4 linked regions of the Lonchura striata genome follow. The protein of the gene in region 4 purifies or fractionates together with the protein of the main gene of each other region. This does not show direct contact. Links are inferred from orthologs where the notes say so. Each region holds a gene or a part of one and is shown on either strand. Other genes may lie near its edges. The genes, in order: ARPC3, ARPC5, ARPC5L and ARPC1A.

Evidence for each region.
Region 1: the proteins of ARPC1A (region 4) and ARPC3 purify together in Homo sapiens (affinity purification with mass spectrometry; 8 studies listed by BioGRID and IntAct, counting the BioPlex papers as one, with this or other methods). This does not show direct contact. The link is inferred for Lonchura striata from reciprocal best matches to the Homo sapiens genes ARPC1A and ARPC3.
Region 2: the proteins of ARPC1A (region 4) and ARPC5 fractionate together in Homo sapiens (co-fractionation; 8 studies listed by BioGRID and IntAct, counting the BioPlex papers as one, with this or other methods). This does not show direct contact. The link is inferred for Lonchura striata from reciprocal best matches to the Homo sapiens genes ARPC1A and ARPC5.
Region 3: the proteins of ARPC1A (region 4) and ARPC5L fractionate together in Homo sapiens (co-fractionation; 7 studies listed by BioGRID and IntAct, with this or other methods). This does not show direct contact. The link is inferred for Lonchura striata from reciprocal best matches to the Homo sapiens genes ARPC1A and ARPC5L.

Annotation. Positions count from the first base shown.
Region 1 is NC_134620.1:12,738,837-12,746,785, forward strand, and holds the start of ARPC3 (actin-related protein 2/3 complex subunit 3), read right to left. Parts: upstream 3,003-7,949; 5' UTR 2,898-3,002; coding exon 2,892-2,897; intron 2,107-2,891; exon of another isoform or gene 2,021-2,106; intron 1,869-2,020; coding exon 1,769-1,868; intron 809-1,768; coding exon 732-808; intron 468-731; coding exon 399-467; intron 129-398; coding exon 2-128; intron 1-1. Other genes in the region: GPN3 (GPN-loop GTPase 3), read right to left, coding at 3,892-3,954, 4,345-4,473, 4,833-4,929, 5,217-5,332, 5,986-6,110, 6,527-6,694, 7,317-7,425, 7,502-7,549; DENR (density-regulated protein), read left to right, coding at 6,821-6,841. UniProt on the Homo sapiens protein: Component of the Arp2/3 complex, a multiprotein complex that mediates actin polymerization upon stimulation by nucleation-promoting factor (NPF).
Region 2 is NC_134611.1:27,704,158-27,712,165, forward strand, and holds the start of ARPC5 (actin-related protein 2/3 complex subunit 5), read right to left. Parts: upstream 3,001-8,008; 5' UTR 2,963-3,000; coding exon 2,819-2,962; intron 1,959-2,818; coding exon 1,887-1,958; intron 245-1,886; coding exon 68-244; intron 1-67. UniProt on the Homo sapiens protein: Component of the Arp2/3 complex, a multiprotein complex that mediates actin polymerization upon stimulation by nucleation-promoting factor (NPF).
Region 3 is NC_134624.1:10,673,434-10,681,428, reverse strand, and holds the start of ARPC5L (actin-related protein 2/3 complex subunit 5-like protein), read left to right. Parts: upstream 1-4,985; 5' UTR 4,986-5,040; coding exon 5,041-5,180; intron 5,181-5,279; coding exon 5,280-5,361; intron 5,362-5,628; coding exon 5,629-5,805; intron 5,806-7,471; coding exon 7,472-7,534; 3' UTR 7,535-7,995. Other genes in the region: RABEPK (rab9 effector protein with kelch motifs), read right to left, coding at 1-24, 173-322, 500-649, 851-1,012, 1,097-1,249, 1,320-1,456, 1,632-1,690; PPP6C (serine/threonine-protein phosphatase 6 catalytic subunit), read left to right, coding at 1,814-1,888, 2,020-2,115, 2,206-2,271, 2,589-2,730, 3,083-3,162, 3,276-3,485, 4,147-4,395. UniProt on the Homo sapiens protein: May function as component of the Arp2/3 complex which is involved in regulation of actin polymerization and together with an activating nucleation-promoting factor (NPF) mediates the formation of branched actin networks.
Region 4 is NC_134618.1:14,882,138-14,889,660, reverse strand, and holds the start of ARPC1A (actin-related protein 2/3 complex subunit 1A), read right to left. Parts: upstream 3,013-7,523; 5' UTR 2,873-3,012; intron 1-2,872. UniProt on the Homo sapiens protein: Probably functions as a component of the Arp2/3 complex which is involved in regulation of actin polymerization and together with an activating nucleation-promoting factor (NPF) mediates the formation of branched actin networks.

The sequences.
Region 1 (7,949 bases), on a different chromosome or scaffold from region 4:
CCTTCCTCCTGCTTGTTGGCAGGTTTGGCATAAATGGCGTTCAGTGGAAAGCCAGGCTCCCCTGGGATTGGGAAGTTAGTGATTCCTAGTGTGTACATTTCCTTCTCTCCCTGGCCTTTGGAGTTGCACTGGAAGAACCAGGCAAACAATGGGTTAGCAGTTATGAACAAAAACTGACACAGCATTAGACCCAAATATTTTACAAATCTGGAATATGAATACTCATCAAGAGCAACACAGCACATCCACAGCCTTGAGGTATTGGAGGCTCTGACAACTGGGACTGGGGTGAACAGGATTATCTGTTCCCCTGGAAGGAGAATATCAGGAAATCCTTTCCTTAGAACAATTCTCAGAACAGACTGTTTCCCACCTGCACAGGAATTCAGTTTTCTTACCTTTTGCAGCTTTTTCAGGCACTCAGAAATGTAGAGGGTCACATAGATCAGTGTTCTGTCAGCTTCATTCTGCAAAACAAGAGCAGGAACTCTTAGATGACAGCACTTTGTGGAACTGATAAAGTCTGAAACAGGAATTAATTCAAGCCATTTTGGGCTATAGTTTCCCCATGAGAGAGAGATTTGCAATTCATGACATTTACCCAACTTTAAAGATTAAGTGGAAGGGGAGTTTTTGTGATCTTCTTAAAATTACTTCCTTGAAAATAAATTTATATTCACAGAACCAACCCTCCAAAGAACTAGAATATACTCAGTATCTCAAAAAATTACCTTAATTTCATAATTTTTGAAGAAAACATTAGCTTTGAAGTAGTAGATGGCTTCATCTATAATATCTGTGTCCTTAGCTATAAAGAAGAGATAGAGTTAAGGAGTGCTCTGTTACACTACATTTGTCATAACTTTTACTCATTGAAATATATAAATAAGGATTACTGCAAGAACAAAACCATGGTATTTACAAAAAGCAGAAGTCAGCACCACGTAACAGAAAACTTCTGAAACACCATGAGTTCAGACTGTAATATTTAAGCTTCCTACTCCTTTCTCCTTCCCCTCTGATATGTCACTTCACAAATAGCAGCAATTCAGCAGTTCCTCACTTTTCTACCACTTTTGAGTAACTCATCACAGTTTTAACATCATAAAAGGATAGAAAAAAAGTTTTTGGAGAAAGCACATCACTCGGATTCCATTATCCTCTTCAAATAAAGGAGGGGGGCAGAACACAGTGACAATCTGACCTTTGTTACCATCCAAGACTGCTTAAATCCAGAAACGTTTCCTTTCCATTTCCCTTTCCAAACTGAATCCCACATTTCTGGGGAATACCACACCTGGGAAGTTCAGGTGTTGAAAGGGAACGTGTGCCTGTGGGCCCTCTCGGGGTGCCTGGAACTTCACTGCAGTTTTTGAAGCCCCACACCCGTAAGTGCTGCTGTCCCTCAGAGCAGCCCAGAGCACGAGTTCTCTGCAGCTGAACCACTTCCTCTGACACAGAGGCTTCACACCACCACAGCCTCCTCAAAACCCTGCTCAGGAGCACAGGGGGAGGCACCAGAACAGCAGCCAGAGGCTTGGATTACTGAAACCCCTAACTCAGCACAACACGGAGCACAATTATCTGTGCATAATTATTTTCTACAATTTGCACAACTGAAGTAGTTGAAAACTTTCCTCCTCTCTAAACTGCGAATCTTTCTATTTCCCACCAGTGATTCTTCTCATCACTCTTAATGGGGTTGTCTTAGAGCAACCCCTGAGGTGATGAGCTACATCCAGTAATTCAGAGATTATTATAATCTTACTTTCTCGAGGTGCTGGGCCCTTGAACTGGCTTCTGATGGGTAACAGTGCCATGTTCCCAATCAGCTTGGTGTCTGAGTCCATTAAAGTGGAGTGGTAAGCCTAGAGACAGGGAGAGCTGGTTATTGATCCTACTGAAAATGGACATTTCCATATCCATTCACATGTCTTCATCAAACAGGAGTCACAGCCTAGTTCATTATGATGCTTCCATCATTTTTTCCTTGCACAAGCAATTGCTATTTTCTCTTTAGGTCCAGATCTTAGTGCCATTCTGGTGAAGACCAGGAAAGCACCAGGAGATGGGATAAAATCTGTGTTGTTGGTCTGCAGGCACAGTTCATCCCCAGGCTGCCTCATCCTGTTACCCCATCCTGGCTGCACCAAGGGGTAACAGCCCTGCTCACCTGCCTGAGTTTTGGGGCATTGCACTGAAAGTTAGTTGGTCATTAAAAAATAGGTAATTTAATTCCACGACTGGCTATTAATAGTAGATAATTATAAATAAAAGCAGGCTCAGTGCAGTAAAAAAAAAAATCAACAAAAGCAACAAAAGTGATTTAAGTGACAAACAAACCAGCTTTCCGCATACAACAAATTCTCCCTGAAAAACCGATTTTAAACAACTAAGGAGTTTAGTTCTAGGCACTTTCCAAGGTGCTGTGCAAGCCACTGGGAATCCCTCATCTCACAACCCACCCTCTGTGGGGGGGCAGAGGAGGATGTGACTGGGAGAGGCTGGATGTATAAAAAGCAGTTTATTTCACTGAGAGGTGGCGTGAGCAAAGCCGGGGCAAAGCCCTGCTGTGACCGCCCTCTCCCCCGCTGCTGCCGGGGCTCGCACCCTCCCGGCTGCGGGTGGATCCCTGGCAGGGGGAGGAGGAGGAGGAAGAGGAAGAGGAAGGCGCTGCCTTGCAGCAGCCTCCCATGAAGAGCCATCCCCGCTCTCAGCAGCGCTCCCCGCAGCTGCAGCCCCTCGTTCCCCCGCAGTGCCCCGGCCGGACCCCGCAGCGAGCAGAGCCCGTTCCCCGGCCGGGATCGCCGCCCCCGGCCCCGCCGCCCCGCGCCCTCCCGCCCGCGCTGCCGCCGCCGGGGCCGCGCGGCGCCGGGCGCGGAGCCGCTCACCGGCATCTCGAAGGGCAGCAGGCGGCTCGGCGGGGCCGGGCGGGAGGGGAGCGGGGCGAGCCGGGCAGGACAGCGGGCACAGAGCTTCCTCCTCCGCTACGCTGCAGGAAATGAGGCAGCGGCAGAGGCGGTGCGAGGAGGAGCCGCGCACCGCCCCGGAGGCAGCGCACCGGGAAGGGATCCCGGGAGGCAGCGCCGTGCCCCGGCACTGCCCGTACGGGGAGCGGCCACGGAGAGGCACTGCTGTCCCAGGGCACTGCCGGTCCCGGGAGGGGCACCGCCCGCTCGGGGAAGGGGTCCCGGGATGCTTCGCTGGCCGCTGGTTTTCTCCCCTGGGTGTTTCCAGCACGGCACTTCGTGCAAGGAAACACAAAACGGGTCCAAACGCGCTGTGTTCAGAGGGACACACTATTTTAGGGTGCACACTCAAATTGCTATCAATTGCTTCCCTGATATCCAGCGTTGCTGAAATTGTTCCCTGGTATCTGACTCCCGGCATGAGTCAGGGAGACAAAGTGGGGAGGTTTGGAAGGTGAGTCACAATAATTCAACTGCAAGGCTGGGGTTTATCCTTTCAACATGCCCTAAGCGTGGCTCGTCCCAGTGGCAGTCTGGAGGTGAATTAAACCACGGTGGTTTCCCCAGCTTTTGAATGGTTTAATTCAGTCAGATCAAGACCTGCCACATACAGATTTTTCTGAGTCTTTTTCCTCAATATATTTTGAGGATTTGCTGGTCTGTTGAACCTCTTGCCCGTTTCTGGTTCTGCTTGTTTATATGTACTAACACTGGCCTATGTATTTTATAACACACCCAAGCATAGTAAAAAAAATTGTTTATTAAAGTAGTTACGAGGTCATATAACTCACTCTCCATTATAAATATTAGTTATTTTACAGATAAAACATCAGGCGTGTTTGTGTAGGGGTTGGGGGGTTTTTATTTTATTTTTATTTTTTATCAAAAACAAAGTATTTTCCTCAGAGTTTGAACATGTTTCTTACTCATCCACATGATCTTGAAAGTATTCATCCACAAGAGCAGATTTATCTTCTTCACATTCCTGTCAAAAAAAACCCCAGAAAAACATAAACCTTCCTGGTCTGAACACAGGAATCATTAGGGGACTTTGAACAGTCATGCAGGAAAAAATCTTGGTGATCTCAGTGGTCCTTTCTGGTATTTGAAGGTTAAAACTCTGTTAATTTTGAAAACCAAACCAATACTTTTAAACAACCACTTGATCAACCTGCATATGCAAGATTATATTAAAGAATTTCATTTCTATAACTAAATGAAGATGATACAAGCATTACCACTGAAAGACTAAACACAGCTTATTTTGAACCGTACAAAGAGAATAATTTATTAGCAAAGCAAAGAACATACTTATATCACAACTTCTCTTATGGATACTTTCTAATTTTTCATCTTCTCAGCAACAGTCCCTTACCTTTGGTTCTTTAAATTCCAGATCTTCTCCATACTGAATGGTGAAGTCTATGTGCTGCAGAATGATGTTTATGCTTTCCTCATCAGAGCGATCCAAAGGCAGGAATCGAACCATGCCATAATCATCAATCTACAGAAGGGAAATGCAGAAAGTTCATTCTCAATCACAGCACTCAAAGCCTCTTCCTTAAACCACTCTTTTCTGGACTTCTAAAATAGCATTTAAACTCACACTGCAAACCAATGGCAATTCCCAGTTCCCCACTCAGAACACCTGGCTACCAATCCTAAATTCTATGCAGCAGCAAATTCCCAAAATTGCCGACAGAAAAGAATTCAAAGAAAATGTATTGGCTATAATCCAGATATCAAGAGTATCTTATCAGTAGTATCAAGAATCTCATGCTAATCTGAAAAAACAAAAAAATATTAGTTAAGCAAAAAGTGATAGTGAATTTTAGGGCACTAGCTCAAAAGCAATGTACCTACCAATCCACATATAGATTTGGTCAGTTTTTTAAACCTTTTGCTTTTCAATATATTTGTAGAATCTTCAATCATAGAATACATATCTGGATCCAAGTACCTGGAGAAACAAAGTCATCATCAACATTGAAAGTCTGTCATTCAAAGTGACACAAAAGATCCAAGATAATTATTTACAGAAATAGCCAGAGATCAGTACAAACATGGAGCTATTTTTCTGACTCTGACTAAATTAAGCATCCTACCCAATGTTTAGAGATTATTGTTTGAAACAAAATCCATCTTCTCCCATTCCAAATGAGTAGGTTTTAATTGTGGGAAACATGACTCAAGTGAACTTTGTTTCAGTATATTGTACCACAGAGTAAATAATTTTTTGGAACTCACTTTTCTATTTCCTTCTTGGCTTTCTTGCTCAGCAAATCCATTTTGGTCATGACGTTAATCTGTGGAATCTCCAAAGATATCATTGCACTGAGGGCTGCCAGGATTCCAGAAATAAACTTGAAGAGGATGAAAAATGATGTATTAAAGTACACAAAAACAGAACACAAACATGCAGGACACTCAACCACAGGCCAAATCTGGTAATGAATATATGGAACATGGACACAAAGCCATATGAGGAATCATTCTCTCTGTTGAAAAGAGGAAGTGGAAAAATTTTTGGAGCCTCAAATATGGATCTGCCACTGAAAAGGACATTAAGAAAACCAAAACCCTTCTTGGAATAGTTACTGCTAAATGGGGATGGTGGCCTGCTTGTTCTTGGGATCTGAGAAAGCTCTCATGGAATCACAGAAGAATTTAGGTTGGAAGGGACTTCTGGAGGTTATCTGGCTCCTACAACTGCTCAAACAGAAGCACTTCCAGGTCAGAGCAGGCTGCTCTGGGGTTTGCCCAGTCAAGTTTTGACTCTGTGAACATTCACTGCACAATCCCTCTGTGCCTGTCCCAGTCTGTTCACTCTCCCAGTGCTGCTTTACATCCACCTGGGATTGTCCTTGCTGCAGGCTGTGTCTGAGGCAGCTGATGACAGCAACCACATCTCCCTGCACCTGGCAATTTTCCCTCTGGGCAAACCCAGCTCCCTGAATGGCTAAGACTTCTTGTTCTTTATTAAAATGAACTTTATCAACAGATTTCAAATGGATACCTTGAAAGATTCCACCATGAACTGAGAATCCACAAGGAAAACTCCACAGACACGGAATTCCCACTGCTGCAGCTGCTCCACCAACTGTTTCATCACTGGCAGGTGTGTGTAGAGTTCAATCTGACCTGGAGCACACTCAGGATGTTAACAGGTAGGAATGTGAAGCAAACAAGAACAGTACACAGTTATATTTAGACATGGGAACTGCACTTAAATAAAAACTAGTAAGGAAAGCACCTTCTTTTGAGGAAGCCTGTGTTTGAGTGAAATAGAAAAGAAATAAAAGGAGGTTTTTTCCTCCTTTGGTCCCCAGTTAGTGTTAGTTTGCAGTTGCCACAGCTCATGATGCTACCAAATAGCTGCGCAGTCACCCAGATCAGCCCAGGACCAAGTTCACTCCTGAGACACCTGAAAGTGACTCTGACAACTGATAATAGCTGAACAAAATGGGAATTATCACAACCTCCACAACCACATTTTCCAATTTGCGAATTTTCCAACGCTTATGAAGAGTGATGCCAAAACATTGGTGTGGCTTTACCTGGGCAATCAAACAAAACATAGTCATCCTCCACGTGCCCGAGGCTCTCCTCCAGCCAGCTGAAGTTATTGGCAAAGTATTCCATGCAAAACACCAAGCCACCATTGGGGCCAAACCTCAAGGACTCATCTTCCATGACATCGTCCACCTCTATCAGCTCGCGGATGTCTGCGACAACACAAACGGCCCCAAAGGCAGGGAATGAACTCTGGCAGCTGAGGAAACTTCACAGCAGTGCTGGGTGCAGGGGGATCTCCCTGGCACAGGCACAGCCAGCACCAAACACAACACGTTATGTTCAGGAAAGTTAAACAGGTAAATATAAGCTAAATACTTCCCGGGATTTATTGGGGAGGGTCTTTTGAGGGTTCCTGGTGATTGTCTAGGAAACATCTCATTCCCCAAGATTTTCCTCTTATGGTCTAATGAATATCTCCTCCTGAAAGTATCTCATCTATGTGGGCAGGTCAGGGTGTGCTTTTATCATCTTTGTTCAGATACAAACACTGCTGTTTTTCTTGAAACTGAGGCATCTGCCAGTACCTATCAATCACTGGTGTAGGTAAATACAGGGATTGAGAGTGCATCAACCTCTGACATAGGCACTGAGCATTATTTGCCAGCAGACCAGAATTATTCCTTAATTTACGGATCACACGTTACTTTATTAAAACGATTTTCCAACATCTTCCCCCGGCGCTGCACGGGCTCCGTTTTGGAGGACAGAACGGGTCCGGTCGCACGCTCTCGGGGCAGCCGGAGCCCAGCCGTGCCCGGGGCCGCCGCTCACCTGCCATGACGGGGTAGCTGAAGAGCTCGGCCGCCGGGTCCAGGTTCACCACCTGCACGGCGCGGCCCAGCGCCTCGCAGTGCTGCACCATGGTGGAGCAGTACGTGCTCTGCAAGGCACACGCGGCCGTCAGGAGCCGGCAGGGAGCTCCCTCCGCCCGCCCTTCCCCGCTATTCCCCGCTCACCTTCCCGCTGCCCGCCGGGCCCATCACCAGCTGCGCGTACCGGGGCATGGCTGCGGCGGCCCGGCGGGGAATGGCCGCTGCGGCGGCCCGTAGCCCGGCCGGCTCCGCGGCACGGCCCCGCCCGCCGCCGTACGGCGAGCCGGCGGGGTCAAACCGTGCCCGCCCCTCTCGCGAGACGGCGGCGCTGGGGCGGGCGCACGTGCGCGCGCGGTGAGGGACCGGGACCGGGACCCGCCGCGGCCCGAGGGGCCTCCGGTAACACCGACACCGCCCCCGGGCCCCCCCGCGCAGCCCCCGCCTGCCGGCTCCCACACGCGCCCGCTCCCGCTCCGCCCCTGGCGGGGATCCCCCCGGTGCTTGTACCGAGCATCCTCCCGGCGCCCTCCGTTCCGTCAGCGCCGGCACCGCCCCGCGCCGCCAGCCCGTCCCTCCTCAGGTACCCGACCCG
Region 2 (8,008 bases), on a different chromosome or scaffold from region 4:
CAGGAAGGGAGTTTTGGCCAGGCTCAGGGCCTGGGCACTGTGGCAGGAGCTGTCCCCATGCACGCACCTTCTCGTGCCACTGCAGCAGCACAGCACTGCTGTTGTCAGAGGGGCTCTCAAAGCCCTTGTAGATGTATTTCATGAGCAGGTCCACCCCGTTCTTGTCCAGAGACTGCACCGCCTTCTCAATGTCGTTGGCTTTGAAGGAGATGAGCACCTTCAGCACGATGCTCTCAGCACGATCCTGTCAACAGGCAGGCACAGACACAACCATCCTGGTGAGAGGCACAGCCAAACTGCATTTTTTTCTTTAACACCTCTGAAGAGGACAGTGTGTGAAGAGCTTGTCATAGAAAGATTAATAGACACATCCTCTCAAGGATAAACAAGGTAAAAGAGTTTAACACATTCGCCCTCCTTTAGTTTTTATGCCTCTGTGAGTGTTTGCAATTCTCCGCCCCTTAATTATAGCTAAATAGTAAATGTTCATTTGGAAGCTCAAGATGTATCAAGTTCCAAAATAATTATAACAATCAAGTGCTTATCTGGCCCCTCTTCCCACTAGAGCCTTTTCCATACCTCTGTACTGTTTAACGTGACACAACCATTATGATCCAGGGAAATGCCATTGGAAGAGGTGACTGCTGGAAGCCACGTGCTTTCCAAGCAGTCCCAGGCACACTGGATGCAGACTGGCCATTAATATTAAGAATTAATAACGTTTGATCTGGATGTCATTTCAGGCCTGGGAATGTGTGAGGTGAGCTTACAGCAGCAATTAGCCATGCAATCAGCAAGGAGCAGCTCCTCCTGTTCATCCATCACTAACTGAGGCAGGATGAGAGAAAAATGTCTCGGGGTTGCTGGACGTTTGAATAATTCCATCGTACAAACATGTCAGGCACCTTCCCCCTACAGAAACTGTGGATGTCACTTTTCCTGCCCAATTTAATAATACTCCATAATCACTTGCTTTAGCAAGACTTCTCACATGACTGTAAGTAAAATTATTTAAGTTCCAAAGATAACCAAAAATTAATACAGGTATTAATGTTCAGTCATTCTACCCTCTTCAATTCCACCACCAAATGTATTCTTAAATCCTTCAATAGAGGGCTAATGGAAACAAGTCATTAATGTGAGGACAAAGCTATACAGCTCTATTTGTAACAGCTGGTTCTCAGAGCTCTGTAAAACCCTTCAGGAAAGGGCTGGGGCTGCAGGAACAGCTCTGCCAGGAACCATGGAGCAGGGAGCCATGCCCCTGGGCCTCTCCTTGGGCACGGAGAAGTAACTGCAGGCACTCACCAGCTGGGCACTGCCATATCTTATCAGCCTGTTCCTCCTACCACTGCAATCATGAGCTATTCAGGATCCATCCTGGGGATGTTCAGAAATGCACATACCCAGCAGACTCCCACACTATCACAGGGGGAGGACTTGCTTTTCCTGAGGTTTAACAGCTTCATTTTGATTGGATGTGACAAAAAACAATTCTTCCTTTTTTGTAGGCTCACTGCTGGTGGTTTCATTAGTCAGAGGTGACAACTGCAACCCTGGCTCCCTGAGCACACAAGGATTACATCTGTGAGCTGCCATGTGTGGTCTGAGGCAGACACAGGCACATGATGACACCTGGGCACACAAAACACAAACAGCACTGGCAGGAGAACCACACCTGATCCAGCACCAAGGTAAAGGTACGTGGACAGTACTGTACCTGAGCTACAGTATTTTGAACAAGATTAAAACACTTGTGGTCATGGATGTTTCACCCTAAATTCTGCTCCTCTTGCCTCCTCAAGGTACAACTAGTGGCACAGAAGTAACAGAGACAGGAAAGGATTTTTAGGGAGTAACCCATGAGCGAGCAGTTGCTATTTTACCTTCACTGCCTGGTTCTTTGTGTTGATGGGAGGGTTCTTCAGAGCTGCCTGCAGTGCAGCCATCATGTTCCCTGTGCCAGATGGTTAAGGACCAGACACCAAATACACGGACATCAAGTACCAGGACAGCTATATTTGTAGCTGGCTTGTGCATGACTGAAAACACTCTGATGCAGGGATTCCCTCACCAGCTAAGAAGACATTACAGCCTAAGACAGCAATTTTCAGGCCATTTGAGGCAGGAGCAGCATCAACAAGCAGCTGTATAGTTCCGGGACTGCTGAATACTTCCTAGGCCATTCCCTGAATGAGTAATAGAAACCATTCTCCATCACTTCTGCAATCTGTAGCCCCCGAGAACAGATCTCAGCTTGTCACATCCAGCCCCAGCAGCCACTGGGACAGCAGCCCAGGGAAAAGTGACCAAGGGCCAGCTGGGCGAGGCAGCCCTGGCAGCGGGCACGGGAACTCTTTGGGCACAGGAACGCCCTGTCTGCATCCCCGGGACACCGCCCTGAGCGCGGCCCCGGGGCACTGCGGCTGCTGCGGGCAGGGGAGGAAGCTGGGCCGCCTTCCTGCTGCTAGCCCCTTCCCCTGCCAGCCCCTTCCCCTTCAGCCCCTTCCCCTTCAGCCTCTTCCCCTTCAGCCTCTTCCCCTTCAGCCTCTTCCCCTTCAGCCTCTTCCCCTTCAGCCTCTTCCTGCTGCCAGACTCTTCCTGCTGTCAGCCCCTTCCCCCTTCAGCATCCTCCCTTGTCCTTCCATCCCCTTCCCCGCCTGTCCCTTCCCCTCCAGTCCGCTCCCCTCCATCCCCATCCCCTCCAGCCCTCTCCGCCCATCTCTCCCTGCCCACCGGTGCCGCTCACGCTGTTCCCCTACAAGGCCGCCCCGGCGGCGGCCGCGCCCGCTCCGCCCCCGCCGCTCCCCTCAGGATATTGTCGCAGGCACGAGTCCACCTCGCCCTCATCAGGCCCCGCTTGCCCGTCGCCGCCGTCCTCCTCATCCACGAACTTGTTCTCGTCGTACTCGTCCACGTCCACCCGGCGGAACCGCGCCGAGGACACCGTGTGCTTCGCCATGGCCGCGCCCGCCCCGCGCAGCCGCGGCCGGCCCGGCCCGCCCCGCCCGGCGGCGCCGGCGCAGCGAGCGCGGCCCCGGCCGGGGAGCCGGGGGGACCCGAGGGCGCGGCCCGCCCAGCCTGCTCCGGCTCCCACCACCTTGGCCTTGGATACTTGAGGCAGCCACGGCTTCTTTGGCACTCTGTGCCAGGGCCTCACTCGCGGGGAACAGCTTCTTCCCAATAGCCAGGCTAAACTTATTCTCCTTCAGTTTGAAGTTTCACAGGTTCACAGAGTATTCCGAGTTGGAAAAGACCCCCAAGCATCACTGAATCCAGTTCTTAAGTAAATGGCCCATACCGGAGTTGAAGCCACAACCTTGATGTTACTGTCACCGTGCTCTGACTGACTCTGAAGCCATTCCTGCTTGTTCTGTCACTCCAGACCCTTGTAAATAGTGTATCCTCGGGATTCCCAACAGCTCCTCCAGGTACTGCAAGGTCACAGTGAGGTCACCCCAAAGCTGCTCCAGGCTGCACAATCCCATCTCTCCCATCCTTTCCTCCCTCCCTGTGACCATGCTGTGCCTCCCCTGGGCTCTTCCAGCAGCTCCAGCTCCTCCTGTGCTGGGGCAGCTCTGCAGGTGGGGTCTCAGCTGAGCACGGGGCACAGGGGCAGAATCCCCCTCCCCTGCTGCCCACGCTGGGGCTCAGCCCAGGGCAGGGGGTTCAGGGCTGGGGCAGCTCCAGCTCTCACCCTCAGCACCCCCAAATCCTCCCAGGGCTGCTCCATCTGCTTGCCCCCTCCCCGGACTGATCCTGGGAGTTGCCCCGACCCAGGTGCAGCAGCAGCACTTGGCCTTGTTAAATTCCATGAGATTCCCACGAGCCTCTTCCCAAGCTTGTCTGGGTCCCTCTGTCCACCCCAGGACAGCGCCAGGCTGGGCAGGACCCGTGTAGCTTCAAGTGAGGTGGGAGCTGCCCTGCTTGGATTGCTCAGGGAGCTCCTACTCCAACAGCACCTAGTGACCTTGAGAGTTAAAAAATAGCCACAGCCTGTAATTTTTTAAAGTTACACTTAGCCTCTGTAGATAATAATTACCCTATTATTAATTAGGAAATGACACAGCTTTGTGAGGTTCCTCTTAAGAGAAAACAACAGCCCTGGAAGAAAAAATACACACACACACACACACACACACACACATATAGATACACATATTACACCCACCACTAACCCCTGTAATTTATTCCTGTATCAGCCCTACCTGCAGGACCACCCACCTCCTTGATAGAGGAGGAATTTAGGATATGTCCCATGTTCCCCAAAGTTGCCTCAGCTTGGGAAGCTGCAGTCCAGTTGGAACTGTGGCTGTAGCTTGGGACTGCTGGCATTTTTCTGCTGGAAATTGGCTTAAGGGCAGCAAAGTAATTGCAGGAGGTAAATAGACTGTCAGAGAGTCACAGCATGGTTTGTGTTGGAAGGGACCTTAAAGGTCATGTAGTTCCAACTGCCTGCCATGGGCAGGGAGTACTGAGGTTCAGGGTTTACTGCCCTGGCTTAAGAGGTTGAGGATTAAAACCAAAGTATGTTCATAATCCATTATTTAAGACCCACAGTTATTCCATGGATTAAATTTGGCTGGAGGGGACTTTATTGGTGTTTTTTGCCATCTGTGATCTCAGTTTCACACCAAAAAGTGGGTGGATCTCTGCCATCCTCAGAGCAGGCGTGTGCCACAGGGAAACGCTTCCGAATGAGGACTTCCACTGAATTATTCCTTTGGCATTTTTGAATGCCTTACTATATTTCTGCATCTTGGCTATAAGCTGTTCCTTCTGAGAGGGCAGAAATGCACCTGGGAAAAGCCCTCCTTGTCTTGGAGACATCAGAGGAAGCAGAATGTCTTCCAAGGCTGGGAAAGGCTGTTGGGAGGCTGGGTGACAGAGGAAAAGGCTTTTAAATTCTGCTGTCCAGCTGAGTTCCCCTGCTTTCCTTGGGGAAAAGCTGTCCTAAAAGATGTTTTAATTCCTGTTAAGTTAATTTGATGTCAGTTTTGTGTACCTGCTGGCAGAGCTGGGTGACGAGGGGCTGCCCCCATGATGGCACACACAAAGTGTGTTATACATAAGAAATAGTGGACAGTCTCTTCAAATAGCTGCTGAAACTTGTAGCAGCATATGGAAACTTGGTTGATGACACAGAGAACAAAACTCTTGGAGCCTGGAGGCATTATTCACAAAACAGACTTTTTGCTAAAAATAAAGAGTAAAATTTTCCCTTATACCCTATAGAGGAAAAACTGTACAATAGAAACAGCCACACTTTTTAGAATTGTTACAGGTGATTCCATGATTCAATCTGGCAAAAAAAACAAAAACATGCAAAAAGAACTTAAAAAGGTGTCATTACCAGGTCCAGCTCAGGGTAATAGCAAATATTTATCTGATTTCCTTCAGTGGCTTTTAAAGTTTCCACTTTAGGGCTGTTACAATCTTTGCAAATTCTGTGGTGCAGAAGAAGGTTCCTCCCTGGTCTGGGCAGTTCCATGCAGCAGGATCTTTCCCAGTGCAAAGGCTTGGCCCTGTTTGAGATGGTGGCAGCAGGCAGGTTCTTTTAGATGTTTCCAGGTGCCAGTTTCTGGGAGATGGGAAGGCAAACAGAATTTGCCTTTGTGGGGCCAGGCATCTGTGGGAGTTGAATGTCTGTTCTGTGCCTGTCAATATTATTTTTTAATTTCTCAAGTGATACTATAGCCCTCTTTTATTAGTGAAGTTTTGCTACAATATTGTTATAGCTGAAATCTGGGTGTTCTAAGGAATGTCCAACTGAGATTCTTTCTAAATGATTTGTGTGTTTATCTAGTGTGCCAGCTGGACAGAAGACTCCTGTTGTACTTCTGCACCAAGGTTTTCCCTTTCTTCGGAAGTTTGTGTTCCCGTCCCTGAGGCTTTAATTCCAGGAAGCAGTGGGTCATTCTGTGAGTAAGCTCAGTCATGCTTTGTACCAGGGTGCCAGAGGAGGGAAAACACAAATTTTGTGTGGGTGAACAGCTATTGGCTCAAGCAGGAAATTATTTGTCTTCACTGCTGCTCTCATTGCCCCTCATCATTCTTGGATCTTCATAATTCTTTTGCTGCTCCACTGTAAAACATAGCCATCTGCACATTTTATCACAGCTCACTTTTGCATACCACCGTTTTGCCCTCTGTATTTAACTTTTTCCTTAAATTCATAATTTTTAAAATTTGCTTTGCTTTCCACTCTGACTCTATAGTAACTTCTGTGTATTGTCCTCATATATTTTCATGTATGTATGTGCTGTAGTTCCTTCCTGATCCAGACCACTGTGCTGTTCTCATTCAGATTTCTCCTAAAGATTGGCTTCCTGACATGAGGAGTGGTCCATTTGTCGTTTCTGGTGTTTCTGCACATTTTGGATGGTCAGCCGTGCTCTGTTGTGTGCAGTGCAATGTCACCCTGGCAGTGCCGTGCCCCGGGAAATAGAAAATGCCGTTGCTCCCTGGCATAAAGGAGGGCAGGTGCGGAGAAAGGAGTGTTTTCCTTTGCAGAGGGGTGTCAGGAGAGGGTGTCACCCCCGCCACTTCTCCTGCAGGCTGCCAGTGCTAAAGACAACTGAGAAAGCTGCGAGTGTGGGATAAGGTTCCCATTCCTGCTGTCCCTGCTGGTGTTCCTGCAGAGTTGGGATGGCCGCATGATGGCAATGTCGCACCTCAGGGATGCGTGTTGTTTTTCGGATGGAGCCGTTTGCTTCTCCAGCTCTGTTTAAGTGTTTCTAGAGCTTTTCAACCAGAGGCACCGGACATTTTACATCTCCCCCCGAAACCTGCCTCTTTATCTTTGGTTGGTGCTTCGTCCTGGTCAAAACCCGTCAAATTTTCAATCTCCTCAATCAACAGTATCACATCCTTACAGGATGGGAGTCAAATCCCAAACTACCTCTTTGGATGGGTTAATTGGAAGAGTGTTCCCACAACCAAAGTGCATTTCTGGACGTGCAGCATTAGCATCAGCCTTTGGCTCCTTTGCCAATGCTGTTCCTCTCCATGAGCCACCATTCTGATACAGGAGATGGTGTCTGTTGGATCCCTAGGAGCTCAAAATGAGTGTTAACAGATCCATATTTATCTCTCTCTATCTATCCAATTATACTTAAAATTATAGTTCTATCTCTGCCCCTCCCAACTATATTTGGAGGGGACTGGGATATAATTATAACTTTTAGAAATTATTTAACTTTTTGCTAAAATGCCTGTCTGGGGCAGAGGGCAGGAATGACTGATTAGTGCCCCATGACATGGCACAAATGTTCACAGGAGGAACTGGAGAGGAATGTTTTATCCAGTGAAAACCACAGGGAGAAGAGTCCCTAATGACTCTGTCTGGAAGTGAGCCAGGATCCAAGACATATGTTCTGCACCTAGGGAAAAACACCCTAATGATCAGGGCTGGGATTTTCTTTTTCTTTATTCAAATATTAGGTAAATTCTGGTATCTCTCCAGGCTAAAAAGCATGCAGAAATTCTGATCCATCCCAATGTGGCCAGTTTGGATGTGATTTTACTGATTTAAATGTGTGGGTTTGGGATTTCTGAAGATGTCTTTTGAAAGCAAAATTGTATGCATTGATTAGACAGAAGCTGATGTGTGATTATATGGAATCAGAATGTTTTATTCCCCAAACTAAACCATGATCTGCTTCCATAGGCTGGTATAAGTGCTGCTGTATGGGGGGAAAGGGATGCACACTCTGGAGCTGTCCCTGAAACGCTGCACTCAGGACAAGGATGGTTCCTCTCTTCTGTGCCTCTGAAATGTGAGTGTTGAAATTCTGCTGCATTTCTTAGTACAGCCTGGTGCAAAATAATCTCTGCTGGAAGCATTTTACACATTTTCATTCAGTAGGGAGTTTATCTGAGTTCAAAGTCCAGAGCAGTCACATGGCCCCCTAATGAGCCGGAGACTTGACGTTCCTGCGCAGCCCTAAGGTTTAAAAAATAAGAAACAAAGGATATGAGGGAAGAAGCAAGATCTGTCCACAGCTGC
Region 3 (7,995 bases), on a different chromosome or scaffold from region 4:
GCAGGAGTGTCCAGTGCTGCCTTCCTGCAGTGCAAAGATACAGTCACAGCTTTAAACATCACACAGCAGACAGTGACACCATGAATTAAAACAGTTCTGAGCATTCAGTCCTGCAGCAGTGTAACTTCAGTGCCTGGCACCTACCCTGGCACCACTGAGAGCAGCCTCCTACCTGTGTGATACTTGTACGTGGTGTCCAGTGGCCCATCTGGACCTATTCCACCAAAAATGTACAAGTGCTCCTGGAACGCTGCCGAGGAGTGGGATGCCCGTCCTCCCGGGACATCCCCGGTGGCCGGGATCTTCTCCCATCTCAAGTCAGCTGATGCAGGAAACAACACCTCTGCAGTTATGCATTACACAAACCCCACACATTTCCTTGATTTAAACAAAGAAGGTAATACTTAAAGCACTTAAGAACTAGTATTTCAGGAAAAAATGTCCCCCCAAATCAAAGCACTTCGCTCACAGGTGCTGCAGTACCTCCATCCACACTTACTGGTATCAATGCAGAACAGGTCATTGTAAAAAACATCTCCAGCTAAACCCCCGTGGATGAAGAGTTTGGTCCCAACTGCAACCACGGCGTGTCCGTGCCGAGGAGAAGGGGGATCACCACGAGTCTCAGGCTGGGACCAGCTCAGGGTGGCTAAAAATGGGAGTGCATGTGCATCAGGAAGAAAACTCCGGAAATTCTACAGACCAGCAAGCGGGTCTGAATTCCCAGTGAGCACATGAACATAAGGGCCTGTCAAAGGAAGAACAGCCACCATCCCGTGGGACTCGCCCCCAGACAACAATCGCAGCCCCCTGACACAGCCCAGAGCTCCATCCCGCAGGTGGGAGGTACCTGTGTCGAACACGTGCAGCCGCTGGTCTTTCACCGGCTCTGCCCCCTTGTCTCCACCGCCGAACACGAACAGCCGCGCCCCGACGGCCGCCGAGGACGAGTGGAATGTGCGAGGTTGTGGCTGCTCCCCCCTCACTGCAGGGCTCTCCCACGTTCCTGTTTCTAGTGAAGACATTCGATTAACCGAGCAACCAGCGCGGGAGCAGAGGCCCAGCCCGTCCGGCAGCCCCGCTCCGGGGCACTCACCGGGGTCCAGCGCCTGAACGCAGCTGCGGTTCCCGGCGGGGTGGGCTCCGCCGAACACCCAGAGGCGCGGGGCGCGGCCGGCGGGCAGGAACGTGGCGTGCTCGTAGCGCGGCCTCAGCCCGCGCCAGCCGGCGGGGACCCAGCGCAGCGGGGCTGTGGAGGGGACAGGCGATCGGTCCCGGTCCCGGTCCCCGTTCCGGCCCCGGCCCGGCCCGGCCCTCACCCAGCTCCAGGAAGTGCGCGTCCGCGAAGGCGCCGGCGGGGTCGGCACCGGCCAGCAGCAGGACGCGGCCGGGGAGGAGGAGGCAGCCGAGTCCCACGCGGCCGCGGGGCCGCTCCCCGCAAGGGCTTAGCCGGTACCTGCGGGACGAGGGCGGCGCTCAGCGCGGGCTGGGCCGGCCCGGGGCCCGCCGGTTCCCCCGGCCGCTCAGCGCTGTGCCCCCGCCGCGCCCCCAGCACCCCCGCCATGCCCGCCGCGCTCAGCGCTGTGCCCTCATCACCCCCGCCGTGCCCCCGCCGTGCCCGCCGCGCTCACCACCGTCCCGGGCGCGGCCGCCGCCCCGGCTGCAGCAGCGGCAGCGCCCACGGCGCCATGGCCGCTGCCGGGCCCGGCCGGAAGTGCCGCCGGAAGTGCCCCGCGCTTCCGCCCGCGCCCGCGGCGCGCTCCGCCGGCCGGAAGTGGCGGGCGGGGCCCGCCGTGCCCGAGCCCGAGCCAAGATGGCGCCGCTGGACCTGGACAAGTACGTGGAGATCGCGCGGCTCTGCAAGTACCTGCCCGAGAACGACCTCAAGGTGCGGCCGCGGCGGCGGGCCGGGGCCAGCCGGGGCGGGCTGGGGCCGGGGTGGGCGCTGCCGGGCGGGCCGGAGCGGGCGGTGCCGGTGGTCCCGGCGCTGACCCCGACCCTGCCCCGCTCCTCCCGTAGCGCCTCTGTGACTATGTTTGTGACCTGCTGCTGGAGGAGTCCAACGTCCAGCCCGTCTCTACTCCCGTCACCGTCTGCGGGGACATCCACGGGCAGGTAAGGCCGGGCCGGGCCGCTCCCGGTGCAGCCCCGGGCCGGGGCCGGTGCCGGTGCCCGGTGCCCCCTCACGCCGCTCTCCCCCCGCAGTTCTATGACCTGTGCGAGCTGTTCCGGACCGGCGGGCAGGTTCCCGACACCAACTATATCTTCATGGTAGGTGCGGCCGGGCCGCGCCGGGTTTGACAGGGCTGGGGGGAAGTCCCGAGGGGCTCCCGAGTCCCGGGGCCGCTGCTGGCTCCTGCCCCCAGTTGTGCTGCCGGGAGCCCGGGGGTGAGGCAGAGCATCCCGCCCTGCCAGGCTGTCCCGGGTCAGCTCAGGACAGCGGTGAGGGGAGGAGAGCCCCGCGGGTCCCGCAGATCCCCTGCCCTGCAGCGCCGGGTTCTTGTGGCACTGAGGAGCTGGGGGCGGATCTGTCACCGGGCACTTTCCCGTGTGACTGTCGCTCCAAGTGCCGCCGTCTCTGCCTCCAGGGGGACTTTGTAGACCGAGGGTATTACAGCCTCGAGACGTTCACATACCTGCTTGCACTAAAAGCCAAGTGGCCTGACCGCATCACGCTGCTGCGAGGCAACCACGAGAGCCGGCAGATCACCCAGGTGTACGGGTTCTACGGTGAGTCCTGCCCGGGAAGCACGCTGGCACCGACACGGGGCCGGGGCTCTCGGGGCTGGCTGGGACACGGGCTGCAGCTTGTTACTGGTGACAAGGTCACGGTGCTTCTGAAATGGAACGTGTCTGAGGCAGATCTCGCTGCTCTTTTCCTCTGGCACGTGGGGTTTCTGCTTGTGTTGTGCCACGTTCAGTGGCACAGGCAGAGCGTGAGGTTCTTGCTCCCTGCTGCTGGTGCTGGTTCTGGGCAGCAGCAGGACCCAGCACAGAGCTCATGTGACACAGCTGAGCATGCAGGTTCTGCCGTCAGTGTTTCCCCGAGATCCAAGAGGAACAAACCCGTTCTCTCCAACAGATGAGTGCCAAACCAAATACGGGAACGCCAACGCCTGGAGGTACTGCACCAAAGTCTTCGACATGCTCACGATAGCAGCTGTAAGTGCAGAGGCCAGGCCAGCAGCGGTGGGGTCCTGGCAGGCGCTGCAGGCTGAGCTGCAGCTCCCCGGCAGCGCTGCTGAGGGCTCTGTGCACGTGTCACCTCCCTGCAGCTAATAGACGAGCAGATCCTGTGCGTGCACGGAGGCCTCTCCCCAGACATCAAGACCCTGGACCAGATCCGGACCATTGAGCGGAACCAGGAAATCCCTCACAAAGGCGCCTTCTGCGACCTGGTGTGGTCGGACCCGGAGGACGTGGACACGTGGGCCATCAGCCCGCGCGGGGCGGGCTGGCTCTTCGGGGCCAAGGTCACCAACGAGGTAACGCTGCTGCTCGGGGCCACGCAGCCCGGGGTGGGGATGGGGGAGCCACGGGCTCAGCTCAGGGTGGTGCTGAGTGCACCCAGGGCACTGCAGGACACCAAACTCCCCCGTCACGCCTCTGCCAGTAACTCGTGGCTTGTGCCAGATGGAAAAAATGAGCCACTTCAACCTAAAAGCACAAATGTAACTGCCAGATGTACTAATGCCTATCTTGCTTTTGAAAAGTCTGATGTGGTGGGACTTACTTGTGTTCCTGGGCTGTCTATGGAATGGTTTCCTAAGGATCTAGGAGAAGAATACCATTTTTTAAGCAATTTTTGAGTTAATTTTATTGTGTCTGTGCTGAGCAGACTCCTCAGGGCTCTACACACTGGCCTTGGCAGGCTCTGACCTGGCCACATTCAACTGCGTTGTCGTGTGGCCCTGGCACAGCATGTTAGGAAGGCTTGAGCCTGGGGACAGCACAGCCCCAGGACTCATGCTGTTCCTCAGAGCTCGGGTGTCGCCAGCCGTGTTTTACAGGGGTTTCACAGGGGTTTCTCAGTGCTCTCACTCCTCCTGTTGTGTTCTCCATGCTGCTGTGTGCGGTCAGGCCAGGAGCAGACGTGGTGTGGGCAGCAGCCGCTCGGGCCACGCTGATTTTCCCCTTCCCTTGCAGTTTGTTCACATCAACAACCTGAAGCTGATCTGCAGAGCGCACCAGCTCGTCCACGAAGGATACAAATTCATGTTTGATGAGAAGTTGGTAACGGTATGGTCAGCTCCCAACTACTGCTACCGCTGCGGGAACATCGCCTCCATCATGGTCTTTAAAGATGTAAATACAAGAGAACCAAAGTTATTCCGCGCAGTTCCAGACTCAGAGCGTGTCATTCCTCCCAGGACAACCACGCCGTACTTCCTCTGAGCCCTCGCCCGCCTGCTCTCACCTCTCCCTGTCCTGCCCCTTTTCAATATACTTTTTATTGAGCACTTTGCTGCTGAAATGCTGCCTCTTGCCTTTTTTATTTTTAAATTATCTAAATTTATTGTGTATTATGGTGTCTGTAGCAAGTTTTTTTTTCCCTCGCCCCTAGATTAATTTCAGAGTATTTGTAATATGTCCTTGAGATTTGTACTACTGCATGTAGTCCTCGCCTAGTCCTGGGTTAGATGAACCGATTCCTTTAACCACCACGCTCCGGGAGCCGCTCGGGCCCGTCTCTTGTTCACTTTTTGTTTTTGCTAAGTTTTAAGAAATTTCAGCAGCAAAGTCAGCGCGCGGCGTGCGGCGGGGCCGGGGCTGCCCGTGCTGCGTTCACGGCGCAGGACCGAGCCAGCGTTTTCCGAGTGTTACGTGGATCCCAATAAAGCGCTCCAAGGGCTGTTCCGCGTTCCCGGTCTGTCCGTTCTGCGCGGGATCCCGGCCGGAGCCGCGAGCGCTGCAGCGGCGGGACGCGTACATTAAAGGCTGGTTGGGATTTTCCCGGGCTGCGCTGTTTTTCCGGGCGGGGCGGGGCGGCGCCGCGCGTTCCGGTTCCGCCGCCGCTTCCGCCGGGGCCGGGCGGCGGCGATGGCGCGGAGCACGCTCTCGTCCCGCTTCCGCCGCCTCGACATCGACCAGTACGACGAGAACCGCTTCGTGGAGGAGCCCGAGGAGGCGGCGGCGGCCGAGCCCGATGCCGGCCCCGAGGTGGAGGCGCTGCTCAGGCAATATCCTTTGGGCCGGGGGTCCCGGGGGTCCCGGGGAGCGGCCGGGGCGGAGCCGCGCTGCGGTCCCGCGCACGCAGGTCCCGTTTGAGTCCTTGACCGCCGCCGCACGGGCGAGGCGCTCCGCGCCTTCCACGCCGCCATCCGCAGCTCCCCGGGCAGCAGCCGGAGCCAGGCCGTGAAGGTACGGGCCGGGGGGGACAGCGGCGCCCCGCCGGTCTGAGCGGCGCCCCGCCGGTCTGAGCGGCGCCGCTGCTGCCGGCACAGCCCTGAGCGTGCTGGCACGGGCATCCCGCCGTGTTCACCCTTCCTCCGCTAACCCCAGGTCTGCTCACCGCGCTCACCCAGACAACCCAGCCTGGAGCGTGGCCACCTCTTGCCAAACACGAGTCTTGGGATCGTTTCCAGCTGTTCTCGTCCTCACATTTCTCTCTTTGCCTTGTCTTCCCAGGAGCAGGCGCAGGGAACGATGCTTAAAGTCCTCACATCTTTTAAAAGCAGTGAAATAGAACAAGCGGTGAATTCCTTAGACAGAAACGGTGTTGATTTGTTAATGAAGTACATTTATAAAGGATTTGAAAAGCCAACAGAAAACAGCAGTGCAATATTACTCCAGTGGCATGAAAAGGTACGTGTTGGGGGCACTCTTGGCTCGCTCGCAGGGTCCTGGCCAGTGGTGGTTTCAGGAGAGCCCCTGAAGAGAAGCAGGTGGGGCAGGGCCTCATCCCTGAGGAGGAATGTTTCCTTTTACCTTTGCTCACTGTTTCCTTTTACCTTTGCTCTCTCTGAGCCTGCATTCACAAAGCCTTTGCCTGTATTTCAAACCTTACCCTCTGCCATGGGAAGAGGAAACTTGCAGCAGGGAGTTCTCCTTGTGCTGCCTTTGGCCCCCAGGGCAGGCAGGGGCTCCAGCAAGGAGAAGGGTGGGAGTGGAGATGTGATGGGATGGACGGGGCAGCTGCAGCTTCCTCTGGGGCCGAGCTCAGGGAGTCAGGCTGGCAGTTTGCATCAGCTGAGTCACAGGGTTTAGCAAACCTGTTTGGTTTGCCCAGGAGAGGATTTTGAGGTCTCCAAAGATTCCAATGGGGACCAGCAGGGGCCTCTTTCGTTCCTCTGGAATGTCAGCTGTGAAACAGGGAGTGTGGGATGTGTTCAGAAGCTGATACTGCAACTTTCTTCCCTGTGTGTGATGGGCCCAGGCACATTCTGGGTTGAGGCACAGCCCTGAAGCAGCTGCTGGGTGCCCCTGCCCCCGGGCAGGAATCCAAGTGAAGTCTTCCCCCCCTGCAGGGGCTTTGGCTGAAGCCCAGGCTGTCAGTGCTCCTAGGAAAACTGATCCCTGGGCACACTGCAGCTCCCTGTGCAGGGCAGCTGCTGTGAATGCCACTGTCCTTTCCCGAGGTGCAGAGCTTTTTCCTGCTGTACATAAAGCTGGTGTAGCGTGACTCCAGCTATTGGCTGCTGTCACCAGCTTTGCCAGGCCTTGACAAGGGAGGAGAGAATTTCTCGGGACAGCAAGGAACATGTTTCTGCTTGGTTTTTTTTCTTTTTTTCCTGTTGTTTCCACTGAGGTGCTTTCAGGTAAGCGTGGGTGGTGCTCCCAGCGTGGGAGGTGACACACCACCACCCTGACTGATACTCAGAGCGTGCAGGGACATGAAAGGCATCTCATGCTCTCTGTTGTGAAAGGAACAAGGCAGGTCTGAGTAGGCAGGGTTTAAAGCCTGGTGTCCTGCTTTGTGGCAGTACTGGTAGGACGTGTGGCTTGCTCAGATCATAGTCAGCTCAGTGGTAGTACCAGTCTGTCCTCTGGAAAAGGCCTGTGGCAGGTCTGGTAGCTCAGGAGCTTTCACCTGCCAGTCCTGCTCCAGGTGGGTGCTTTGCATTTGTCTAGTCATGTTTCCCAGCTCCACGTCTCTTCTGCTCTTGTACTCTGTAGAGCAATCTACTGGATTGTGGTTGCAAAGTAAACACCCCACTTCCAGCAGTCATCTTAAAAATTTATTTTCTTCATAATCACCTCCATCTTCTAGACTTCAGAAGGAAACACTGTTCATATTGAGGGACACAAATTCAACTGAAGTGAGCCCTTCCTCCTCCTCCTCAGGGATACAGGAGGCGAGACATTCTGCTCTGTCAGTGACTTGCAACACTGGAGATGCAAAAGATAGTTAGATTGTGGAGAATTACAGTTTCTAGTTTTGGAGAAGAGCCATAGTCCCTTCTGTGCTAAACTCTTTGATGTTTGTTCTGTGTGGGACGTGGTGACTCTTAACCTCTCTCCTTTCCCACAGGCACTGGCAGTAGGAGGCCTGGGCTCCATTATAAGAGTTCTCACAGCAAGAAAGACTGTCTAAAGACTGTTAACTTGGACAGAGGTGACGGTCAGGTTTGGACTCAGAAGAAGGAATAAGCTGAAATTACACTGGTCCATCTTTATTAGAGATTGCAATCTACTGAAATCCTACAGTAACCTCCTCTTGGAATGCTTTTAACCTTTAAGGTGGGGGAAGAGTAAAGGTATTCCTGCATATTCCGACTATCACACACAGGAGCCAAGACATTCTCCTGCTCCCTTCTGTAACGGGCAGAGAGAAGGCACACTCCTGCCTCCTACTGCTGTAAGTGAACAGGTATTTCAGATGCTGCTTTAGCCAGGTGTGGTGGTACAAGCTCCGTGTGTCCTGCTTAGTCCCGAGGTAGCTGTGTCCAGGCTGGGATCCTGCAGCTGAGGGTGGGACAAGGGCTCTTAGAACGTGTGGGTGAAGGACTCTTGGACTCTGGTGTTGGCTTAATGTAAAGTGAAGTGCCTGCTGCA
Region 4 (7,523 bases):
TGCAATTGCCCTAAAAGCCAGATACACTTGCTTCTTTGTGTATCCTCACAGACAAGAGAGCAGGTCCTCAAGAAATCTAATAAATCTATTAATTTTACTATGGAAATGGAACAATCAAAAATAAAAGTATCTAGGACAAAGGTCAGCGAACTGATTCTAAAGCCTGACTTGTATCCAGGCTCACAGGCAGCACTACAACAAAATCTTTTTTTCAGGAAGCCAAACTGATGTGTAACTGTGATCTGCTGATACATTATTTGATAAAACAATTTATATGTATCCTACAAAAAATCACTAAGGTTAGTAATTAACTGATTAGTAATTTCTTCAAATTACTTCTAGCACTGAACTGTTTGATAATCAAGCTTCTGCCCCATGAAATTCAAACACTAGAACAAGCTGGATCATTGTAGTTTTTGAGTATTATGTTTAAAAAAGGCTAAATGCCTATTATTTTCTTGTAACTGATGGTTGTTACAAGAGACACTGCTGAAAATATGCAACTGGAGGCACATCCATCCACAGACACAAAGTTGTTTAAAATGTTTTTATTATATTATCTTTCATCCATTTATGCTGCCTTTGGTTTAATATAGGGCATAGAGTAATATATTTTTGAAATTAAAATATTTTAGATATTAAAATATTTTAGATATTGAAATACTTTAGGTATTAAAATATAGTATTCTATGTGCTGTATTAACCAGAGCAGCATGAACTGATGGAATATAACAACATAAAAACTCAGGGTCACCTGTAATAACAAAAATGTGCACAATTCAATACATCCAACTTGGACTTGTCAATTCCTTTCTTATATTCCATTAATTTTCACAGCAATTTATCACTGCCTGATGGATCAAAGCATTTTTACCCCCACATATCCATCTTAAAAGAACTATCTCCGTGATGTCATTCCAAGACATCCACACCCATTACAGCCTGGAATTACAACATACCCAAGTATGGCCATGTTAGCAGAGGGTGGAGACTTCAGGACAAGGTAGGAATTTGGAAGCAAACAGGAAATGAATGGCAATCCAACAGAAACTTGGGAGTGAAAGAAGGATGAGTATGCTCTCAGGGAGCCTCAGGAATTACTGTCACACCATCAGTTTAACAAATACCTTGAAAGTGCTGGATCTTGGAGCAGAGGTGAGACAGTATTTCACCAATGCAAGTAAGTGGAGAGACTTTTCACTTTATTTAGTTTATTTGTTTAAGGAAACTGAGCACTGTTATTCTAAAAATATGCAAATTATGGGTGCATTTCAAATGTACTTGAAATACAACTTTTAACAATATGAGCTTTTAGCCCAGCTCATAATTTTAACCAGCATGATTTTCACAGTTCTTATAATAATCACATTCCACCAATCAAATAAAGTATTAAATACACACAGTCCTGGGCAAAATAATTAATTATTGTTTGTTAATGTGAAAATGTTGCCATCATCTGGGTTACTTCTGCCCTTGGACATCCATCATTTGAGATTCCACATGTGGAAGCAAAACACAACTGCAAAGTGCTTTTTCCAGGATCTTGCCAACATTCAGTAGCAGCACATTTCCATATACAGGAAAAGTTCAAGAGCTGTTCCACCAACAAGGAATTCTCAGCCTTTGCTACTCTTTCCGAAATAAAATGTAAAAAAATCCACTCTCCTCTCCCCAAGGAATGCAGCTATTTTGAAACAGTTTCTAATACAACTGTAGTATTTTATTCACAGACTGGCATTACATATAACATATGGTCCCACCCTAACTCTTAGTTCAGGCATTTATCCTGAGCTGTTCCCAAAACCTATCCAAAGTTGTATGATCTATTCCTTCCCATTGATTGAATTACCTGAGCTCCACAACTGGCTACAAGCCACCTTTTTCTATTTTGGTTTGGTTACAAACCCATAAAACACAATGATGATAACCTCAAAAAGCACTGCTATTTCTCTCTCCTGATAGGCACAGTGATATTTTCTTTGAGAAGACAAATCTTAAAGAACTTTTCTAGTTATATTTATTCATTACTAATAGACAGACAAAATCTAGCTTGCATTTCACTAGGGAAAATGCTGCTGGCTTTATAATTCTTGGTAATCTCAATGCCTTCCTGTCATCCAACCCCAGAATCTCACGTGGGGAAGATACTGGCATGACTTTGTTACCAAGTACTTAATGCAGCTCTCCCTCAGTTTTATTTCAAAGGGAAAGCAACTGACTTTATAAAATATTTTTAAATGGAGGAAAAAAAAGGAAATCTTGCGCCTTTGTAGAGAAGCTCTTTCTGTTCAAGGCCGAAAAGGATCGAGGCTGGGATGTACAGCACTCAGCTGCTGTCACCTCTCTGGGGTGAGAAATATATGGTGAATGGATGAACAACTAGCCAGGATACGGACTCAGAAGTGGAGACGGAATGTTTGTGTGTGACAGCGAGAAAGGGATGCTTTTAATCCATCCTCAGAGCACCTACACCACTTCCAAACCCCTGGAAGCCAAGCACCTGCGATGAAGGAAGCCCCCAGCACTGTCAGTGCTGGGGATCTCGCAGGGGGGCGGCTCATCTCGGGCACCTCCCGGCACACGGCGCCGTCAGCCCGACAAACCCGCCGCGATGGGCACGGACCGTGAGCTGCGGCCCCGCCAGCACCGGGCACGGCGGGGGCCGCGAGGGGCACGGCGGGGGATAACGAGGGCGCTCAGCGGCGGAAACGGGGGGCAGCTCGCCTGTCCTCAGCCCCTCACGGCGAAGCGGCGCCCACCGCCTCACCCTCAGCAGGGCGTCCCCAGCCCCTCGGCGCGGCGATGCTGCCGCGCCTCCCCCCGCGCTCCGCTGAGGCCGGCGGGCCCGCAGCCTCCCGCGGCCGGGACTCACCTGAGGCGGCGGGGGCGGAGCGGGACTCGCGGACTCTGGGCAGTCAACGCGACTCCGCTCCGGCGGCGGCAGAGGCCGAGCGGGCCCGGCTCGGACACGGGCGGCAGGAAACGCGCTGGGCGCCTGCGCCGCCGGCCCGCCCCGCGCGCAGGGCGGAGCGGCGCCTGCGCGGCCGCTCAGGGCGGGCCGGCCGCGGCTGGCGCCTGAGGGGGACGGCTTTGAGGTCGCGAAATCCCGCTGTCGGTGCCCTCCTGCCCTGAGCCGCGTCAGACGAGCGCCGCAAACGCTTCCAAGAGTTGTCACTCCACCGCTTAGTAAGCTCTTCCGATGTCTGACCACCCAAGTAGTGAAAAAAAGATAATAACATCTAACCTGACTCTCCAGTGCTTTAATTTAAGGCCATTTCCTTCAGTCCTTTCCTCACTGCAGGCAGGGTAGATGAGGCTGGATCCCACCTCAATACACTCTTCTTTCAGATCTACTGCTGTAGTCAGCCAGAAGAACAAGGAAAGAAAACAGGGGGAAAAGAAGGTGTTTCCTCCTGCCGGGTTGTTTCTATGAGGAGAAAAAACCAAAGGTGTTGGTTATTAATTGTTCCCAGTAGATGAGTCCCAAAATACAGAGGTGCCACAGTGCTGGGCACACACATGAGATTGGGGTTCCAAACACCAGCACTCACAACCCATCCTACAGGATACATCACAGAGAACCTGTACTGGTATAATCACCGGTATAATGGAGATAAAATGCCACAAATATGAGAGCAAATGAATCCACACTGAGTCTCCTCAAGACTAAACAAACCCAGTTCCCTCAGCCATAAGGTTTTCTAGACCTTTCATGAGCCTTTTCCCCACCTCTGGACACACTCCAACACCTCAATGTCTTTTTTGAATGGGAGACCAGAACTGAACTCAGCACTCGAGGTGTGGTGTCACCAGTGCTGAGTACAGGGGGATGATCACTGCCCTGGTCCTGCTGGCCACACTGTCCCTGAAAGGGAAAGATGTCCTTGGAGGGGACAGGGCTGCTCTGGAGCCAGGCTGGGAAAGCTGGGGGTGATCAGCCTAGAGAACAGAAGATCCAGAGAGACCTTAGAGCCCTTTCCAGGACCTAAAAGGGCTGCAAGAGGGCTGGAGATGGACTTTGGACAAGGGCCTGGAGGGACAGGACACAGGAAAAGGCTTCAAACTGAAAGAAGGCAAGGTTAGATGGGATACTGGGGAGAAATTATTCCCTGTGAGGGTGAGGAGACCCTGGCATAGATTTTCAGAGAAGCTGTGGCTGGCCCTGGATCCCTGGAAGTGCCCCAGGCCAGGTTGGATGGGGCTTGGAGCAACCTGGGACAGTGAAAGGTGTCCCTGCCCATGACAGAGGGGTGGAACTGGATGATCTTTAAGGTCCCTTCCAACCAAACCATTTCATGATTCTATGATTGAGGGTTGGAATATCAAAATAAGTTAATGAGCAATAATTTGCCCTACTCTTAATCCCCTAGAGGAATTGCCTCTTCTTTGGGGTCTCATAGTTTTTCTCCTTCAAACTTGGGAGATTTTGTGAGCTCAAGTACAACAATAATGAACAAAAAAGTCTGGGAAAATGGGGAGAGATAAATGAGTCCCTGATATACTGAGGAGCAATAGAGTAGTGAGTTTAATTTCAAGTCTGAGAGAAAATAAACAATTTATAAGCATCTCAAAGGAAAAAAAGAAGGTGAATGCTGGCCAGTATGGCTTTGTCAGGAATGAATTGAGCCAATCTAATTTCCTCTTCTGGCAGCATAACAAGGATTGCAGATAAGGGCGAAGCAATGTATGTAATATATCTTGATTTTTAGTAGAGTTTCTGACACTGGCTTGCAGGGTATTCTAATAATAAACTGGGAAACCAGTCTAGATGATACTGCTCTAAAGGAGTTGCAAAACTGGTTGAGGGAAGAAGTACTTAATATCAGTGCTTGTACAGGGAATTACCTGTGCATTACTCATCTGTGATGCAATAATGCAATTACTGCATCTGAAACAGAGATTGAGTTCAGAATAAACACAGTGGCAGAACCAGGATTCAAAACAGGAGCTCTGAGGTAAACATGGGATGTGGTTGGGCAGCAGGTGCACTGCTGTTCACTCCAACACCATCAGCTTCAAATTTACACCACTGGGAATAGGGCAGCTGCAGGGAAGGGTGGAGGGGATGCTGAGGGTCAAAAGATGAACAGGAACAAAAACCATCTTTTTGCAGATGAGGTAAACTCCACACAGCCCCATGTGGGTAAGAAAATCTGAGTAACACACACAAAAGAATCCAGCTCTGCTGAGCTGCATTAGAAGAGCATTAGAGTCCTGTGCACCAGAGAAATGTGGATGATTTGGGGAAAAAGGTGACAAGAATGATCAGGGCTCTTTGAACACATTACTTCAGCTGAGCCTGTTGAGAGGACAGAAAACTGAGGGAAGATGTGAATAGTCTTGGAATAGATGAAAGGCTGCCGTTCTGAGGAAAGGAATAATTTGTTCTCTTATGGCCACAGGGTAGGGTGAGAAGTCATAAACAGAGATAACAACAAGGCAGATCTGGGTAAAAAAATGCCAGTGACTATTTTGAAGTAGTGAAGCCCTGTGTTAGGAGCTGATTTTACAGGATGGAGGGCTGCTCTGAGGAGTTTTTAAGAATGGATCTGAAATATTTGTCAGGATGGCAAAAGTGCAGTAAAAGGTCTTGTATTCAAGAAGTGGGAGTGGGTGGCCTCTGTCAGTGGTCCTGTGGCTCTGTGCCTGCAAGATGTGTAATCAGTGCAGCCCTTATTGGCTTAACAATGAACCTGCCCCAGCTGCAGGGATTAAAACCACACAACTAGGCCGAGCAGAGTTATGTAACTGCAACAAAATTACATTTTAAGTACGGTTTTATGTTTGCAAAATGACTTTCACCAGATGGAGGGAGAGCATCTAAATGAGGCGCTCTGCAGAGGTTTTAAGCATTAAAAGCTAAGACCCTGTCTCCAGTGTAGCTTCCCAAAGACTTTTCCACCACTGCTCCTGCTGTAATGCTGATACAAGTGCTCTGTGCTAATCCAGGAAGGATGCTGATGTTTTTGAGATTACAGCCTCACAAGCAAGGCTGAACTGATTTTAGTGAAAGTGGTTTCAATGCAATCTGACCTTAAGGTATATATGAAAAAAAGATTTAAGCTGGGACATCCTCATTCAGCTACAGGGTAGCAGCTAGTCAAAAAGAGATCTTCTGGAAGCATGCTGTTTGATACACAAACAGGTAACTGGTGAATGAAAAGTCATGGTTTGAGTGCATTCTAGGTGTGCATTGCCAGAGGAGCTGTTTTAGCCTCTCAGCTGTTTGAATTTGCTGTTTCTGTGCTCTCTGCCCTCCTGTTGTGATGCCTTACATCTTGAGTTTGAACAGAATACGATGTTCTGCCATCTCACTGTGAAAAATACAAGTTTTTCCCCATACACGAAACCTTAATAAGACTAGGAATAAAGGCTATTGATGAGAGGAATTATTTGCAAGAGATTACTTGGATCACATCTCCCATCCTTGACTTGAAAAATCTTAAATCTCTGTTAGCACAGATCCATCACAAAATGTTGGATGTGTTCAATCATTCCAGATGTAGCAGGAGTGTATTATTTGCAAGGTTTTGGGTCTGACACACAGGTAATTCTTTTGTCTGCAGATTCTTTCACACTTTTTCTGTGTTCTATTCTTTTGAGAAAAGATTTAGTCCTTACTGTGTACCCATTTGGGGAGTAGAAGGATATTGCTTCTTTTCCCTTTCTGTCTTACCATTAGTGAAAACATCTGTACTATCCATTAACTGTTCCAGGAGTACCTCTGTGCCTAAAGAGACTTGTGGAATATCTGTGTTCCCTTTCTCAGGGAACTGCATGAGTCAGCTGGTGTTGGGAACACACCTATGTTTTCCTCATCTCCATCCCACACCCTTTTCTGCTCTAATAAATTCATGGCAGGTAGATCCAGACATGGGAGCTCCAGCTTCCCTGAGCCACTGGCACAGAGGAAGAGGGTTGAGGCCTTGGATAACCTCCCCAGGAAGCAAAGCCTGAGACACAGTGCCAGATGTGCAGTTTGTTTAGAGCCATCCCATCTCCCTCTCCTCTGCATCTTCCACTTCCTGCATGGACTTCCTTTATTTGGCCAGGCTCTGTTCCTGTACCAGAAATGGTTTGATTTAGCAAAAGGAATCTTTGCAAAATTGACCTGGAACACATCTGATATTTGTGCATGGTGACATCAGGGTGAGGAGAACGGGCATGACCCTGAAGAGTTGTAGTTAATAAGTATTTTATAAATTGTGTGTTCATGTCTGTGCCCACATCAGAGACTGTGCTTGAGAGCAGGAAGGGGTTGCACAGAGGGTAGAGGAGAACAATCTTTTGTAGACAGTGATGCACACATTCCAGGGACTGTCTCAAAAAGTGCATCCAAGTCTACAAAGGTCCACATGTCAGGGATGCTGTCAGTATGAACTGAACATGAACATGTGCTTCCTGCAGCAGGTGTTTTGGAGAGGGAAAATGCTCTTGGTGTGCACCAAGTGCCATTGTGTGATGACAGAACACATCAAGCTGGAAGGGACCTGTAAGAATCATCCAATCAAACTCCCAAGTGG